2 linked regions of the Lonchura striata genome follow. The protein of the gene in region 1 interacts with the protein of each later gene in a biochemical or structural test. Links are inferred from orthologs where the notes say so. Each region holds a gene or a part of one and is shown in the gene's direction. Other genes may lie near its edges.

Evidence for each region.
Region 2: the proteins of perilipin-3 (region 1) and M6PR form a complex in vitro, tested with the Homo sapiens proteins (2 studies listed by BioGRID). The link is inferred for Lonchura striata from reciprocal best matches to the Homo sapiens genes PLIN3 and M6PR.

Annotation. Positions count from the first base shown.
Region 1 is NC_134630.1:5,987,958-5,995,555, forward strand, and holds the start of perilipin-3, read left to right. Parts: upstream 1-4,523; 5' UTR 4,524-4,559; coding exon 4,560-4,660; intron 4,661-5,539; coding exon 5,540-5,597; intron 5,598-5,797; coding exon 5,798-5,993; intron 5,994-6,251; coding exon 6,252-6,334; intron 6,335-6,412; coding exon 6,413-7,091; intron 7,092-7,197; coding exon 7,198-7,388; intron 7,389-7,475; coding exon 7,476-7,598. Other genes in the region: perilipin-3, read left to right, coding at 1-202, 455-537, 624-810, 1,573-1,592, 1,836-1,907, 1,944-2,165, 2,253-2,366, 2,591-3,013. UniProt on the Homo sapiens protein: Structural component of lipid droplets, which is required for the formation and maintenance of lipid storage droplets. Required for the transport of mannose 6-phosphate receptors (MPR) from endosomes to the trans-Golgi network.
Region 2 is NC_134604.1:31,647,829-31,655,142, reverse strand, and holds the start of M6PR (cation-dependent mannose-6-phosphate receptor), read left to right. Parts: upstream 1-4,275; 5' UTR 4,276-4,375; coding exon 4,376-4,419; intron 4,420-5,787; coding exon 5,788-5,958; intron 5,959-6,154; coding exon 6,155-6,327; intron 6,328-6,417; coding exon 6,418-6,527; intron 6,528-6,726; coding exon 6,727-6,857; intron 6,858-7,314. Other genes in the region: KLRG1 (killer cell lectin-like receptor subfamily G member 1), read right to left, coding at 719-833. UniProt on the Homo sapiens protein: Transport of phosphorylated lysosomal enzymes from the Golgi complex and the cell surface to lysosomes.

The DNA of each region.
Region 1 (7,598 bases):
GTGGTGAGCCGCGTGGCCAGCCTGCCCCTGGTGAGCTGTGCCCGCGGGGCCGTGGCCTCGGCCTACGGCCGCAGCAAGGAGAGGCTCCCCTGCGTGCGCCCCGTGTGCCACGCGGCCGAGAAGGGCGTGAGGACGCTGAGAGCGCTGACAGCGGCGGCAGCCAGCCGGGCCCAGCCCCTCCTCACCCGCCTGGAGCCCCAGAGTGAGTGCAGGGACGGGGGACAGCACCCCACGGGGATGGGGCACCCCAATTCTTGCTCTGCTGAGGAGCCAGGAGAGGGATGATCCGGTTGCACAGTATCACAAATCAGTTTGTGTCAATGAATAAAGGGCTGGAGAAGCTGGAGGGTTGGAGGAGAAACACCCCACAAGTTTTGGGGGAGCCCAAACCCCTGCCCTAGCAGAGCTCCTGCAAGCAGCAGGGTGCTAAACCCACCTATTTTCACACCTCCAGTTTCCACCGCCAACGAATTGGCCTGCAAAGGGCTGGACAAGCTGGAGGAGAAGCTGCCCATCCTGCAGCAGCCCCCCGAGAGGGTAACGCCAGCCGGGGGGGGCACGGGCAGGGCTCCGGCACCGGGCGAGCAGCGGGACCAAGCTGTCCTCGCGCCGTGCCCTGGCAGGTGGTGGCCGGGACGCGGGAGCTGCTGTCGTGCACGGTGAGCAGGGTGCTGGCCAGGACGCGCGTGGCGCTCGGCGCCGTGGCGGGCACCCGCGTGGGGCGGCTGCTGGCCACGGGCGTGGACGCCGTGCTGGGCAAATCCGAGGAGCTGCTGGATCGGTACCTCCCTGCAGCAGATGAGGAGCTGGGTGAGTGCCCACTGACGTTCCCCTCCTCGCACAGCCCCCTGAATATCCTAGGCTAGCCCAGAGGTAAGCAGGCTGTGAGGGGAGGAATATCAGGAGATGGCAAAGATTCCCAAAAGAGGCTCTTACCCCAGATATATTGGTGCAGCTCTCTTTATTCTGTGATGTCCATGTGGAGAGCGGGGAAAAGAGAACAAACAGGAAATGTCAGGGGTCTGTACAGACTTTGGGCAGGGTGGGCTTCCCTGGTTCTCCCATTGGGGCAGGAAGGAGGGTCCAGGGTTATCTGATCAGAGCCACAGGGTCCCGGGGAAGGGGGCACAGAGTGCCAATGAGCTCACTGTGACAGCCCACCATCTCCCAAATCTCGGGGTGCCAAGCCCTTCCTGACACCCTCACCCTGGTGCTCGGTCTTGGCGTTGGCTGTACACGGTGGCCCCGCAGCGGTGCCAGAGCACTGAGGTCACCGTGAGCCCACGCAGGGGACAGGCCCTGCCTGAAGGACGGGGATGGCACTGGGTGAACTCTCACCTGGAAATCCAAAAGCAAATATAGTCCCGTGTGCCCGCCCGGGTATTTATAGCTTGGCACTGGGTAACATCAGGCAGAGCTCAATGTCGCAGCTCAAGTGACCGCAGAGGCCACCTGGTTTAAGGTGGCATCTCCACACGAGCTGGTGGCCAAGCATCCTGTGGGTACCCACGCTGGGCTTCAGTGCCCAGCACAGGATGGCCCAGCCACGCTGCCCTCACCCCGGTCCCACAGCGGCAACGACAGGCACGGAGGTGACCAAGGGCACGGAGATGACCAGGGGCACGGAGATGACCAGGGGCACGAAGGTGACCAAGGGCAAGGAGATGACCACGGACACGAAGGTGACCACGGGCATGGAGATGACCACGGGCACGGAGATGACCACGGGCACGGAGATGACCAGGGGCACGGAGGGCACGGAGGTGACCAGAGGCACGAAGGTGACCAAGGGCAAGGAGATGACCACAGACACGAAGGTGACCACGGGCATGGAGGTGATCACAGGCACGGAGGTGACCACGGGCACGGATATGGCCATGGGCACAGAGGTGGCCACAGGCACAGAGGTGACCAGGGGCACGAAGGTGACCAGGGGCACGAAGGTGGCCACGGGCACGGAGGTGACCAGGGGCATGGAGGTGACCAGGGGCACGGAGGTGGCCACGCAGGAGCGGCACAGGCGGTGGCAGAGCTACTTTGTCCGCGTGGGCTCCCTGTCAGCCCGGCTGCCACACCGGGCCCTGCGGCGCTCGCTGGGGGACCTGCAGCGGGCACGGCTCCGTGCCCAGCGGCTCCTGGCCCAGCTCCACCACGTCATCCGGCTGGTAAGGATGGGGCAGGGACGGTGCCAGCCCCGTGGTGGCCCCAGGCACCCCCAGGGTGTGTCTCCACCTGGCTGAACCTCCCCCCAGATCGAGGAGGGGCAGCAGGGCACGGACGGGCCCTGGCACAGCACCCGGGAGCACCTGCACCACCTGTGGCTGGAGTGGAGCCAGCAGGATGCGGTGCCCATGGAGGACAACGAGGTACGGGGTGGAGGGACCGTGGGGGACAGATGGCTCCAGCTGGGGAGGGTGGGCACAGCAGCCATTGAGTCTCTTGAGGTGGGGACACATGGCAAGGGGACACCTGGGGTGGTGCCACCTGGAACAGGGGTGGAACAGCAGCCACGGAGTCCAGCTGTGGGTCCATCCATGGGGGGGTGGGATCCATCACCCCCAGCCCCCGCTGCCCGCTGCCCACCCCGCAGGTGGAGGCTCGGACTCTGGCCATGCTCCACGGGCTCCTGCACCAGCTCCACTCCGCCTGCTCCCACCTGGCCACCGGTGCCCGGGCATTCCCCAGCAGCGTGCAGGAGACGGCGGGACACATCTGGCACGGCGTGGAGGGTGTCCAGGCTTCCCTGGCCAGCGCCCACTCCTTCCAGGACCTGTCGGGCCTGGTGCTGGCACAGAGCCGGGACGCCGTGACGCGGGCACAGCTGAGCCTGGAGGGGCTGCTGGAGCACGTGGGGCAGCACACGCCCCTGCCCTGGCTCATGGGACCTTTCGCCCCCGCGCTGGTGGAGTACCCGGAGGATGCCCCCGTGGATATGTCCAAGTGGGAGGGCTCTGTCATCGTTGGGGGGACGCACCAGGCGCCCGCTGCCCCCCGGGTCTGCAGCCGGCGCTGAGCCACCGGGGCCACCCACCCGGAGCTGCGACCCCCAGTCCCACCGGGAATGGGGGGATGATGGATGGACGTGGGGACCCGGCGTGGCACCCCAGTGTCACGGCCGGGGACTCCTGTGGGGATGGTGGCACGTGGAGGACGCCGTGTGAGCCTGTGTGGGATCCAGGGCTGCCCTAAGCCCCTGGAATGCTGGAATTTCGTGTCTTAACAGCTTCAAACCAGTTTAAAGAGGAAAAAAACAACTTTTTTGGCCTTAAAATTACTCAGAGCCTGCAGCGCTGTGGCAGAGCCACCCCGGGGGCACCCCCGAGGGGGGCTCAACAAGGGGGTGCCAGTGGCACACAGTGGGACGGGATTCCATGGGGTACTGGGAGAAAGGTGCCACAGGGTGCCAGGACACCTGGACTGTGACCCCCCAGCCGTGTGGCACTGAACTTTGTCCCAGTTGTCACAGCGGAGGGGCTGGGCACGCCCCGGGGTTCCCCCGACGTCACAAAGCGCAGCGTGGTCACAGCTGGGGTGACACCGGGCACCCCAGAACCGCCCGGCCTCCGCCGCCCGAACCCCCCGGGACCGCTTCCACCGCCTCCACCGGGCCAGGTGCGGGGAACACCGGGACCCCCGTGCCTGGGAGGGTCGGGGTGGGGGGATCGGTGCCCGGGAAGGGCGGGGGGTCCTTAGTTCTGGGCTGGGGGGGTCACCGCAGCCGGATCCCGGCGAGTCGCGTCGGTGTAGAGCGGTCCCGGGAGCGTCCGGTGCGCAAGGGGCGTCAGTGCAGCTCGGTACCGGGGGATCCGGTACCGGGGAGCAGGGGGGGTCAGGGCAGCACCGAGCGAGGAACGGGGTCCGGGGAGGCTCAGTGCAGCCCAGTCCCGGGGGATCCGGTACCGGGAGCGGGGGGGGTCAGTGGAGCACCGACCGAGGAACGGGGTCCGGGGAGGCTCAGTGCAGCCCAGTCCCGGGGGATCCGGTACCGGGAGCGGGGGGGGTCAGGGCAGCACCGAGCGAGGAATGGGGTCCCGGGGGATCCGGTACCGGGGAGCGGCGCTCAGTGCAGCACCGACCGAGGAACGGGGTCCCGGTGGATCCGGTACCGGGGAGCGGGTCTCAGTGCAGCACCGACCGAGGAACGGGGTCCGGGGGCTCAGTGCAGCCCAGTCCCGGGGGATCCGGTACCGGGAGCGGGGGGGTCAGTGGAGCACCGACCGAGGAACGGGGTCCGGGGAGGCTCAGTGCAGCCCAGTCCCGGGGGATCCGGTACCGGGAGCGGGGGGGGTCAGTGGAGCACCGACCGAGGAACGGGCTCCGGGGGCTCAGTGCAGCCCAGTCCCGGGGGATCCGGTACCGGGAGCGGGGGGGTCAGTGGAGCACCGACCGAGGAACGGGGTCCGGGGTCTCAGTGCAGCCCAGTCCCGGCGGATCCGGTGCCGGGCGGGGGTCTCGGTGCAGGCCGTTCCCGGGGGTTCGCTGCCTCCCGGCCCCGCGCTCCCCGCCGGTCGCTGCTCCCGGGGCGCCCCGGGCCGGCCCCGCTGGGCGGCTCCGGTCACATGCGCTCGGGGCGGGCTCCGGGGTATAAAGGGCGGCGGGGAGGAGCGGGGCGAGCCCGGAGCCGAACCGAGCGGAGCAGAGCCGACCCCAGCCGCCAGCGGTGAGCACGATCCGGGGCCGGTCCGCGATCCCGGTTCCGATCCCGATTGGATCCCGGTTCCGATCGCGATCCCGGTCCTGTTCTCGATGGCGGTCCCGGTCCCGGTTCTCGCTCGCAATCCTACTCCCGATAGCGATCCCGGTCCCGGTCCCGATCCCGCCTGTGATCCCGATCGCGATCCCGGTCCCGCCTGTGATCCCGTCCCGGTCCCGCCTGTGATCCCGATCCCGGTCCCGGTCCCGCCTGTGATCCCGGTCCCGGTCCCGCCTGTGATCCTGGTCCCGGTCCCGGTCCCGCCTGTGATCCCGGTCCCGGTCCCGCCTGTGATCCCAATCCCGGTCCCGGTCCCGCCTGTGATCCCGGTCCCGGTCCCGCCTATGATCCTGGTCCCGGTCCCGGTCCCGCCTGTGATCCTGATCCCGATCCCGGTCCCGGTCCCGCCTGTGATCCCAATCCCGGTCCCGATCCCGCCTGTGATCCCGGTCCCGGTCCCGCCTATGATCCTGGTCCCGGTCCCGGTCCCGCCTGTGATCCTGATCCCAATCCCGGTCCCGATCCCGCCTGTGATCCCAATCCCGGTCCCGATCCCGCCTGTGATCCCAATCCCGGTCCCGGTCCCGCCTATGATCCCAATCCCGGTCCCGGTCCCGCCTGTGATCCCGATCCTGGTCCCGGTCCCGGTCCCGCCTGTTATCCCAATCCCGGTCCCGGTCCCGCCTGTTATCCCAATCCCGGGCCCGGGCCCCCCTGTCCCGGGTTTTTCCAGCCGCGTGGGAGCTGCCCCGTTCCGGGAGGGGTAACCCGGGGTCCTCCCTCCGGGAGGCGAGGGGGGTGCTGGGGGGGCCTGGCCCCACTCACGGTCCCGACCTGTGCCCCCAGCCCCACCATGGCCTCCAGCAAGCCCACGCCAGAGCAGCCCAAGGCGGAGGAGCAGCAGGTCAGTGCGGGGAATGTGGGGGCGATCCACGGGGTCCCAGCTTGCAGACGGGGTTATCCCACCCTGCAATGGGCTTGGAGAGCCACGGGAGCACCCCAAAACCATCCCCGGCGTGTTGGGGGCGCACAACACGCTCCGTTCCCGGTGAGGTTTGGGAGTCCCTCAGTGCCACGCTCACCCTGAGCCCTTCTGGCCCGCAGAACATCGGGACACGCGTGGCCAACCTGCCCCTGGTGAGCTCTGCTTACGACATGGTGTCCTCCGCCTACTCGTGCACCAAGGAGAGCCACCCCTACGTGCGCTCCGTCTGCGATGCGGCCGAGAAGGGCGTGAGGACGCTGACAGCGGCAGCGGTGAGCGGGGCCCAGCCCCTCCTCACCCGGCTGGAGCCCCAGAGTGAGTGCAGGGATGGGGGACAGCACCCCACGGGGCTGGGGCACCCCAAACCCGGCTCTCACCGAGCTCTCGTGAGGAGCCCGGGGAGGGACGGTCTGGTTTTTTGTCTCTGGTTTGTATGGCTGAGGAATAAATGGCTGGAGAAGCTGAAAGATGTAGGGGTAGCACCCCCTGAATTTTGGGGTGATGGGAAATCGGCCCTCGAAGAGCTCCTGCAAGGCAGCAGGGTGCTAAACCCACCTATTTTCACATCTCCAGTTTCCACCGCCAACGAATTGGCCTGCAAAGGGCTGGACAAGCTGGAGGAGAAGCTGCCCATCCTGCAGCAGCCCCCCCAGAAGGTACCGGGGTGGGCTGGGTGGGGTGGGCAGAACATTCAGAGCTTCCCCAGTGCTTAACAGAGTTTGTGTGTCCACCAGATCATCTCGGACACCAAACTGCTGGTGACCTCCACGGTGACAGGGGCCAGGGATGTGCTGACCAGCACCGTGGCCGGGGCCAAAGATGCAGTGTCCAGCAAGGTGGCCGGGGCCAAAGATGCAGTGTCCAGCACTGTGGCTGGAGCCAAGGATGCAGTGTCCAGCACTGTGGCCGGAGCCAAGGATGCAGTGTCCAGCAAGGTGGCTGGGGCCAAGGATGCAGTGTCCAGCACCGTGGCTGGGGCCAAGGATGCAGTGTCCAGCACCGTGGCTGGGGCCAAGGATGCAGTGTCCAGCAAGGTGGCCGGGGCCAAGGATGCAGTGTCCAGCACCGTGGCTGGGGCCAAGGATGCAGTGTCCAGCACTGTGGCTGGAGCCAAAGATGCAGTGTCCAGCACTGTGGCCGGGGCCAAAGATGCAGTGTCCAGCACTGTGGCCGGAGCCAAGGATGCAGTGTCCAGCACTGTGGCCGGAGCCAAGGACGCCGTGAGCAGCCGAGTGACCGGTGTGATGGACATGACCAGAGGGGCAGTGCAGGGTGGTGTGGAGCTGACCAGGTCTGCGGTCAGCAGCGGCGTTAGCACCGTGGGCCAGATGGTGACCAGCGGGGTGGGCTCCGTGCTGGGCAAGTCCGAGGAGCTGGTGGATCATTACCTGCCCATGACGGATGAGGAACTGGGTGAGCAGCTGGTCCCAACCCTCCAGAGAGGGTGGGCAGAGCAGGAGGGGCTCTGTGGGGTGGTGATGGTGATGCTGGGACCCCCTGAGCAGCTCCTGTCCCACAGCCAAGCTGGCCACGGCCGTGGAGGGCTTCGAGCCGGAGCAGCAGAGGCAGCAGCAGAGCTACTTCGTGCGCCTGGGCTCCCTCTCCACCAAGGTGCAGCACCGAGCGCTCCAGCACTCCCTGGCCAAACTGCAGAGCGCCCGCCAGAGCAGCCAGGACCTGCTGGCCCAGCTCCAGCGCACCCTCGACCTGGTAGGACCCAGCCCCGCACCCCCTGTGCCACCCTGAGGTGTGGCCCCGGTGCCTCCTCCACCCAGGCGGGCTGTGCCCCTCTCCCAGGTGGAGCAACTGAGGCAGGGCGTGGATCAGAGGCTGCAGGGCGGGCAGGAGAAGTTGCAGCAGCTGTGGCTGGAGTGGAGCAAGAAGCAGCCGGGAGATGGCAAGGACCAGGTGCCACCGGAG
Region 2 (7,314 bases), on another chromosome or scaffold:
CCCCTCCACCATTTTGCATGAAGGAAATATTTACAAAAAATGATCACCAATGCAAAGCTGGACTCTTTGAAGGTAGTATTTCTCAACTAAGCTGCCAGATGAATTGTTCGGTGTGACATCTGCAGGTCTAATCAGGGGTAATGGAGAAGAAATAAGGAAAGAAAAAATTTAAGGAAGGCACTAAGAAAATCTTCCTGATCGTAAAGTGCCCTGAAGAACTGCTTCACAGCAAAAGCTGAAAATTTGCTCACTAGGAGGTATGTAACACTAGAACACAGAAAACGGGGGAAAAATCACAAACGAATCCTGCATAGCCCCATAGAAGAGAGGCTGGATGATCTCATATGCTTTCTGTCTCTGATCTCTGATCACCATGTGCCTCTAATTTATCTGTATTCACATCTTGCCTGCCCTTCAAAGAACTATAGCTCACAACCTCTTGCTGCTGACAAGCAGACAACTGCAAACCAGTTTTGAAGAAAAGGATGCCTGGGTTGAATGCCCAGGAGTAGACACTGAAGGAGGTCGGTAAGAGGGAGGGGGAAAATGCTGAGTCTCTAACTCATCAGCTTTAATATCCACAGTAATTTTAGAACCAAAGCAACAGCTCTCTAAGCCAGCACTCAGAATCACTTGCCAGTTCAGAGTGTTTCTGTTAAATCTTGCTTTCCCTCAAAGTAAAATTTTTTGTTGACCTACCTCATCCATCTTTCCTCACCTTTTTTTTCCTGTGGAGCTTTAGCCCTTGGAGGAGTCTGAGAGAATTTGAGAGAAGTATATGTTACTTCCTCGCTCTCATCACCTGCAGAAATTTCTGATCTGCTTGCCTCCATACCAAAGCAAGGAGCATGCACAAAAGGATGTTTCAATCAGGTTGTTAAGCAACAGGGCTCAATGCCTGTGAAACAGGAAGCCTGAGGCTATATTCAGAAGACAAGAAATATAAAGCTGCTACCTCTATCTCCAGCTGTTAAGATAACCAAATTTACAACAATGGAGAGTGGTGGAACTGCAGCAGCTTTCATTTTCTAACCTGATGGAGGATGTCTCAAGAACAGCTACTAATGGAAAAGGTGATTAATGACAAAGTTGAGGGGCACTCTAATTGTTGCTAATGCAAGAGGGTGTGATTACACCGATGCAGCAACTGGGAGGATTCGTGGGCTCTGAGGAGCTCCCTTCAGGGCAGAAACAGTGGGATGGTGACAGCACAAGGTAAAAAAGGTTAATAGTGAGAGTACAAGGTGAAAAATGGGACAAGCAATGGCTATGGCAAACTGGCAGCGCTACTGCTGTCAAACAGGAATAAAGGTGGACAGCACAGGTTTGAAATTGAATCCTTGTGAGCTTTGGACAATTCCACTTCAAACTGGGAACTCTGTCTATACCAAATATCAGTGTGACTGTGCTTGAGCCACAAGGTATGCACTGAGAGCTGGCATTCCTCAAGTACATCCAAGTCAACATCTCAACAGCATCGTACAAGGGAGACAGGGGCATATTGAGGATAATCTACCAAAAGGGCACAAAGAGTTATCCTTTGGGACCACACCTTCTGTCCTGGGAGGAAAGACTGAGAGCCCTGGTACTGCTTGGCCTGGAGAAAAGACTTCTTGGTAAGGATCCAATTAATGTATATAATTACCGGAAGGGAGGGTACAAGAAGAGTCAAACTCTTCAGTGGTGCCCAGTGAGAGGACAAGAGGCCACAGTAACAAACTGAAAGACAGAAGATGTTTCCTCTGAACACAGGTGTTGCCAGGAAACACTTTTTTTTACTCTGAGGGTGGCTGAAAACTGACATAGGTTGGCCAGAGATGTTGTGGTGTGTCCCTCAGTGGTGAGTGGCCTGGACACAGTCCTGGGCTGTAGGTGGACCAGGTTGAAGGTGGGCTGGCTTGAGCAGAGGGTGGGACCAGATGACATTGAAAGGTTCCTTCCCAACTCAACCATTTGGTGATTCTATGGTCAGCAACAATAGGAAAAGCTACTTTTCTTTTGAAGTGTTGACCATTGATGAGAATAATTCAAGTTGTGCTAGGGGAGGTTAAGATTGGATATCGGCAACATTTTCTTCACCGAAAAGGATATCAAGCACTGGGACAGACTGGACAGGGAAGTGGTTGAGTCACCATCCCTGAAAGTATTTTTTTTAAATATGCAGATGTGGAGCTTAGGGACATGGTTTAGTGCTGGGCTTGCCTAATGATCTTCAGGGTCTTTTCCAAACTAAAAGATTCTGTGATTCTGGTGGGGAGTACAGATGTTTCCAGCACCCCAATAAATCTCCTAGCTGCATAGTTGGCTGGTTTTTGTTTTAATCCACATTCTGATCCCTTCCATTTTGTGCTCAGAATGGGAATATTGGTCAGGCTCAGGCTGCACTTCTTCAGCACAGTACACTACAGTTAATTTGCAATATATGTCTGGGCATGCTCAACAAAGGAGTTGGGATCACTGCTACCTCCAACAGGGATGATTGTTCCCCCTTCTGGTGATATGTTCTAAATTCTGGTGACATGTTCTAAATTACTGCATGGGATTTGCCATTGTTACAACGCACATGGTGGGGAAGGGACTGGATATTTCTGCAAACTTCTTCACTTGCCTGTAAGGGTGGCATATTGCACCCACAGGATTCCTTCCAATCCTAGGTAGGGCCTCTGGACAGCAAGATAGGGAGAGTGCTTGAAAGGATGGGGAAGGCATAAGATAGCAGAGCAAGACAAGAGGCAGAATGTCTCTCCTAAATGCTTCCAGTGAATAATAGAGAAGTCTAAAGAGAGCTTTCAAGCTCAGAGAGACAGAAGACACAGCTTAAGTGTCCAAATCCGATTTTATCCCAGCTTTGTGTTTCTTTGGTAGATTCTCTCCAGTATTTCCATGTTCTCTCATACTTTGGAATAAAGGTGCCTCTCCCAGCTCCTGCCAGTTTTGTCACTTTTAAACTGCCCAGGCTGCCTGCTGACCCAGAGTGACTACAAAGACAGCACTATTTGTGAAGAAGTGGAGAAGTGTAAGCTTGTGGGAAAGAATTAAGAGCTGTTTTAATGTTGTTTACCTTTTTTTTCCCCATAATACCAGTAAGACAGGAAGTAGAGGGGGAAGGATCACACTGTAGAAGGTATGAAGGCAACTCTCGGTTATTTATTCACACTTACATTCACATGTAAGTGTGAATAAATAAATCTGACTAATGCAGCTGCGCCATACTGTAAGTATGGAGCCACAGTAGAACTAAACTGATCAGTTTTCCAGGAGCCAGCAGCATTTCTTCCGTAGTTCTTCACTACTGAAGCAGCATACCAGAGGGAGAACCTCCCAAATTTCACTCAGACACATACCTTTTCCAGCATGTTGGTACATTCTTTAACTGCAGCATTTCTTTCTTAACTAGAGGATGCAAAAGTCTCAGAACTCTGGTGAAGAAGATGTGTCCCTTCCAGTAGCAGACTCCTGGAAAGTGGGACGTGCTCTGGGAACACATCATAAGGAGAGAGATGTCCTTTGAACAGGCCAGTCTCACATCTCACATTTATAGCTTTATTAATGACATCCAAGATGCTCAAGCACCCCAACCTTGTGTGCTGGACCTGGAATTCCTCTACAGTGGTAAAATCTGCAGGAGTTGGGGGAGGCACCTTTATTCCAAAGTACAAGAACAAAACATGGAGAATCCACCAGAGACACAAAGTGGGGACAAAATCAGAAGGATCAAGGCCACAAAGCAGTTTGTGAAGTGGTCGAGGCGCCTTGCTCCTGCAACACAGTTCACTCTGGAGGCACCTGGTGGGTATGGCAAAGCTCAACACAGAGGGACTGCTACCGCCTCCGGAGAAGCCGAGAAGCCCTTCATTCCTGCTGATGCGGCCAGCTGCCTGCGGCTCTCCGAACCTGCGCGGGGCACAGGAGAGGGCAGAGCGCCACTTCAGCGAGGGACAGTCACAGAGCCCCTGTGGGCGCTGATCCGCAGCGGGAGCCTCGGCACGGCACGGCACGGCACGGCACGGCAGGCGCGGCTCGCTCCGGCTCCGCGCCGTGAGGGCTCCTCCTCTCTGCCCGCCCTCGTCGCTCATTGGCAGAACGGCGAGCGGGGGCGGAGCCTCCGTGCTGAGGCTCATCGCCTATTGGCTGGCAGAAAGGAAGGGGGCGTGCCCCGGCGCGCCCCGGCCCTGCCCGTCCTTCCCCGCCGCGCATCATTCGCTCCGCAGCGCTGCTGGGCGGGCGCTCCCGGCCGCTCCCGCGCTCCCATTGGAGCCGGGCTCCAGTTCCGCCACGCTCTTCCCGGCTTCCGGCTCGCGGGGCAGCCGAGGGAGCCGGTCGGGACGCGGAGGAGGCCGGTGCCGCCCGTGCCGCCCGTGCCGCCCAGTATGGGATGCGCGTGAGCCGCGGGTCTCTGCTCCCCGCGGGCGGCCGCAGGTGGGTGGGCGGGTGCGGCGCTGGCACAGCGAGGCCGCGGGGCGAAGCCGCGCTCCGTCCCGGGCGGGTCTGGGGCAGGGGCCCCCGGCTGGAGGAGCTCGGCCGGGCCGCTCCCAGCGAGGCGCAGCAAGTTGCCGGGAGAAGCCATGTCTAGGGCTGAGCGCAGGTTCTGCTTTTGGGAGAGAGCAGTCACGAGTGCTCGTGTCACGGGCTTCCTCATTTCGCGACCGCGCACTGGAACCGATTGCCCGTGGAGGCTGTGGAGTCTCCCTCGCTGGAGATACCGCAGAACCGTCTGTAGACAATCCTGTGCCACGCTAGGGTGACCCTGCTTGAGCAGGGAAGTTGGACCAAGTGACCCACTTTGGTCCCTTCCAGCCTTGCCCACTCCGTGGTTTCTGCGGTCTTTTGGTGCCCCGTGGCGAGCAGAGCCGCTCAGCAGCTGTGGACTCCGGGGGCTCTGGGGAAATCATCAGGTTCACTCAAACGGGCTCTGTGTCCAGGTGCTTATTTAATGGAGGGCCTGCCTTCCACCAACGACTGGAGCTTTACCAAAATCTGCCACACAAGAAGCGGGGGGGGGGGAATCTGACTGCCTTGTTTGACTGGTGCCATCATTGAGTGTTTCATTTGTGATTTTAGCATGAACCTGAAAGCCAACTCTTACAGTCTTATAATGTTGTTGTTATTATTATTGCTATTATTAATTCTTACTGTTATTATCTTCCTTACTGCCTTGTTGATTGGATCTTACATAGGATGCCTTGCTTTCCTTCTTCCCTAGTCGAAACTGGGAAGGGAAGGAAAGGAAGGTTCTGTGAAGTTGCAGTTTAGCATTATTAATGTATTTCAGATTTTCAGCTAAAGGAATACTGGGAAGATCATTATAAAGATTAAGGCACTTGAATGAACAGAGTCTGACTAACCACAGTGGCTCTTCCCTGTGAGCTCTTTACACGAGAGCTGTGAAGATGATTGATTAGAGGCCTCATAAATAATTTTCTGCTGACTGGCTTCTCAGAGCAACACCATAACAAACAGTGGACTATGCTTGAAATTTACTCCAGCATTCAGTCTGCTGGACTCTGCTCTGGCAGCCAATTAATGTGCTCAGCAGCAAAACTTTTTGTGGTCTCAAAGCAAATTCAGAAGAGGGCCCCAAATCAGCCCAGTGATTTGACTTTGGCTGCGCAAGAGATTCAGATTTAGTCTCTTGTGAACTGTGAGTTGTTTCAGCTTCTGCTTTTTGCAGTCAGGACTGAGGAAGTGGCTAATCATTGACTCCATGACCCTGAAGTTAGTTTGCAGGGGGCTGAAACTAATCCTTTGTGAAGTTAATCCTCTGTGTTCTCTGTGGCATGTGTCCAGGATGTCACCACCTTGCCATACCTCGGCCTTGCTGCTGGTCTTTGTGGCCCTGGCTGTAGCAGGGGCTGAGCAGTCCGAAGAGAGGAGCTGTGATGTGGTTGGTGATGAGAGCAGTGAATCACAGACAGAGAGAGCCCTGCTGAAGAAACTGGAGCCCCTGAGCCACATGAGGTACAGCACAACACCCTGCAGGCCTCGGGGCTGCGCAGTGGGCCAAGGGGAAGGGAGGATTTGGGTCAGACTGCAGAATGGACTCCCCCTGTTAGTGTGGTCTGGTCTCTGATGGGCTGCCGGGTCTGGAGTGACACTGCTCCGAGTGTTCTTTGTAATCCAATGGGCTGTCTCTTCTGTCCTCTCCCTGCTGCAGGTTTAACGTGACTGTGGAGAAGGGCAAAACAGAAAACTACGTCTACAATTTCAGGGTGTGCAGGGAGGTCAACAGCACCTCGCACGACTTTGGTGGCCTGGTGCAAACAGATAGACAGAATGGAAAGACCACGGTGATAGGAAGAATCAATGAAACCCAGGTCTTCAATGGAAGTACGATTCCACTCAATACTTGGCTTACTCAGGAGCTGCCTTTCGCCTCCTGATCTGGATTTGTAGCCTGTATTGTTTCTCTCCTGGCAGGTGACTGGATCATGCTGATTTATAAAGGAGGTGATTCATATGGCAGGCACTGCAGTGGTGAGAAGAGGCGAGCTGTGATAATGATTTCTTGCAAGCGGGGAGTTACAGCGGTGAGTGACACCTGGGATGAGAGAGCATCGGGGGCTGCCAGACCAATGGTTGGTTGTGAGCAGAGAGGTTTTGAGGGGACAGTGAGCTGGCCTCAAGTGTCTGGTGCCCAGCTGCCCCAACATTGATAAAACTATCTCCTGGTGAAGTACAGTGTGTGTGGGCATGTTTTCACATGACTTCACTTTTCCCAAATTGCAGAGTTCATTCAGCATTATTTCTGAAGAGCGGGAAAAGGAGCAGGAGTGTTTCTACCTCTTTGAAATGGACAGCAGTGTGGCTTGTCCAGCTGAGAATTCCCACCTCAGTGTTGGCTCCATTCTGCTGATCACGTGAGTCATTTGAAGAGCTGTTTGTGCCTGGGTCATAATCTCCAGTACTATTTAGAAATGTAGCAAATGATATAGTAAGACTAAATTACTGCAGTGTACTTTCCCACTGCCACCATTAGATGTTACTATGCCTCTGAGCTTTTTGGACAAAGGCTCTTGCTCAAGGCATGATGCTGGGCTGGTCCATTCTCAGTAAACACTTTCCTTCATAGCTTACGGACAAGTGCACTGAAGCATGAGAGATTTGACTTCCTAAAATTATATGATGGCTCTTTGCCAGAGCTGGGAACTCAGACCAGGAGTCTTGACTCATTTTCTGTTTGGGAGGCACTACTTCACATAATGCTGCTAAAAGATTAATACAACCAGATTGATAAGTTGGAGACCTTTTATGGTCTGGTTTCTGTTTACAGCTGTTCTTGAGTGGTGCTATCTCGGAAGAGATTTTCTATAGGGT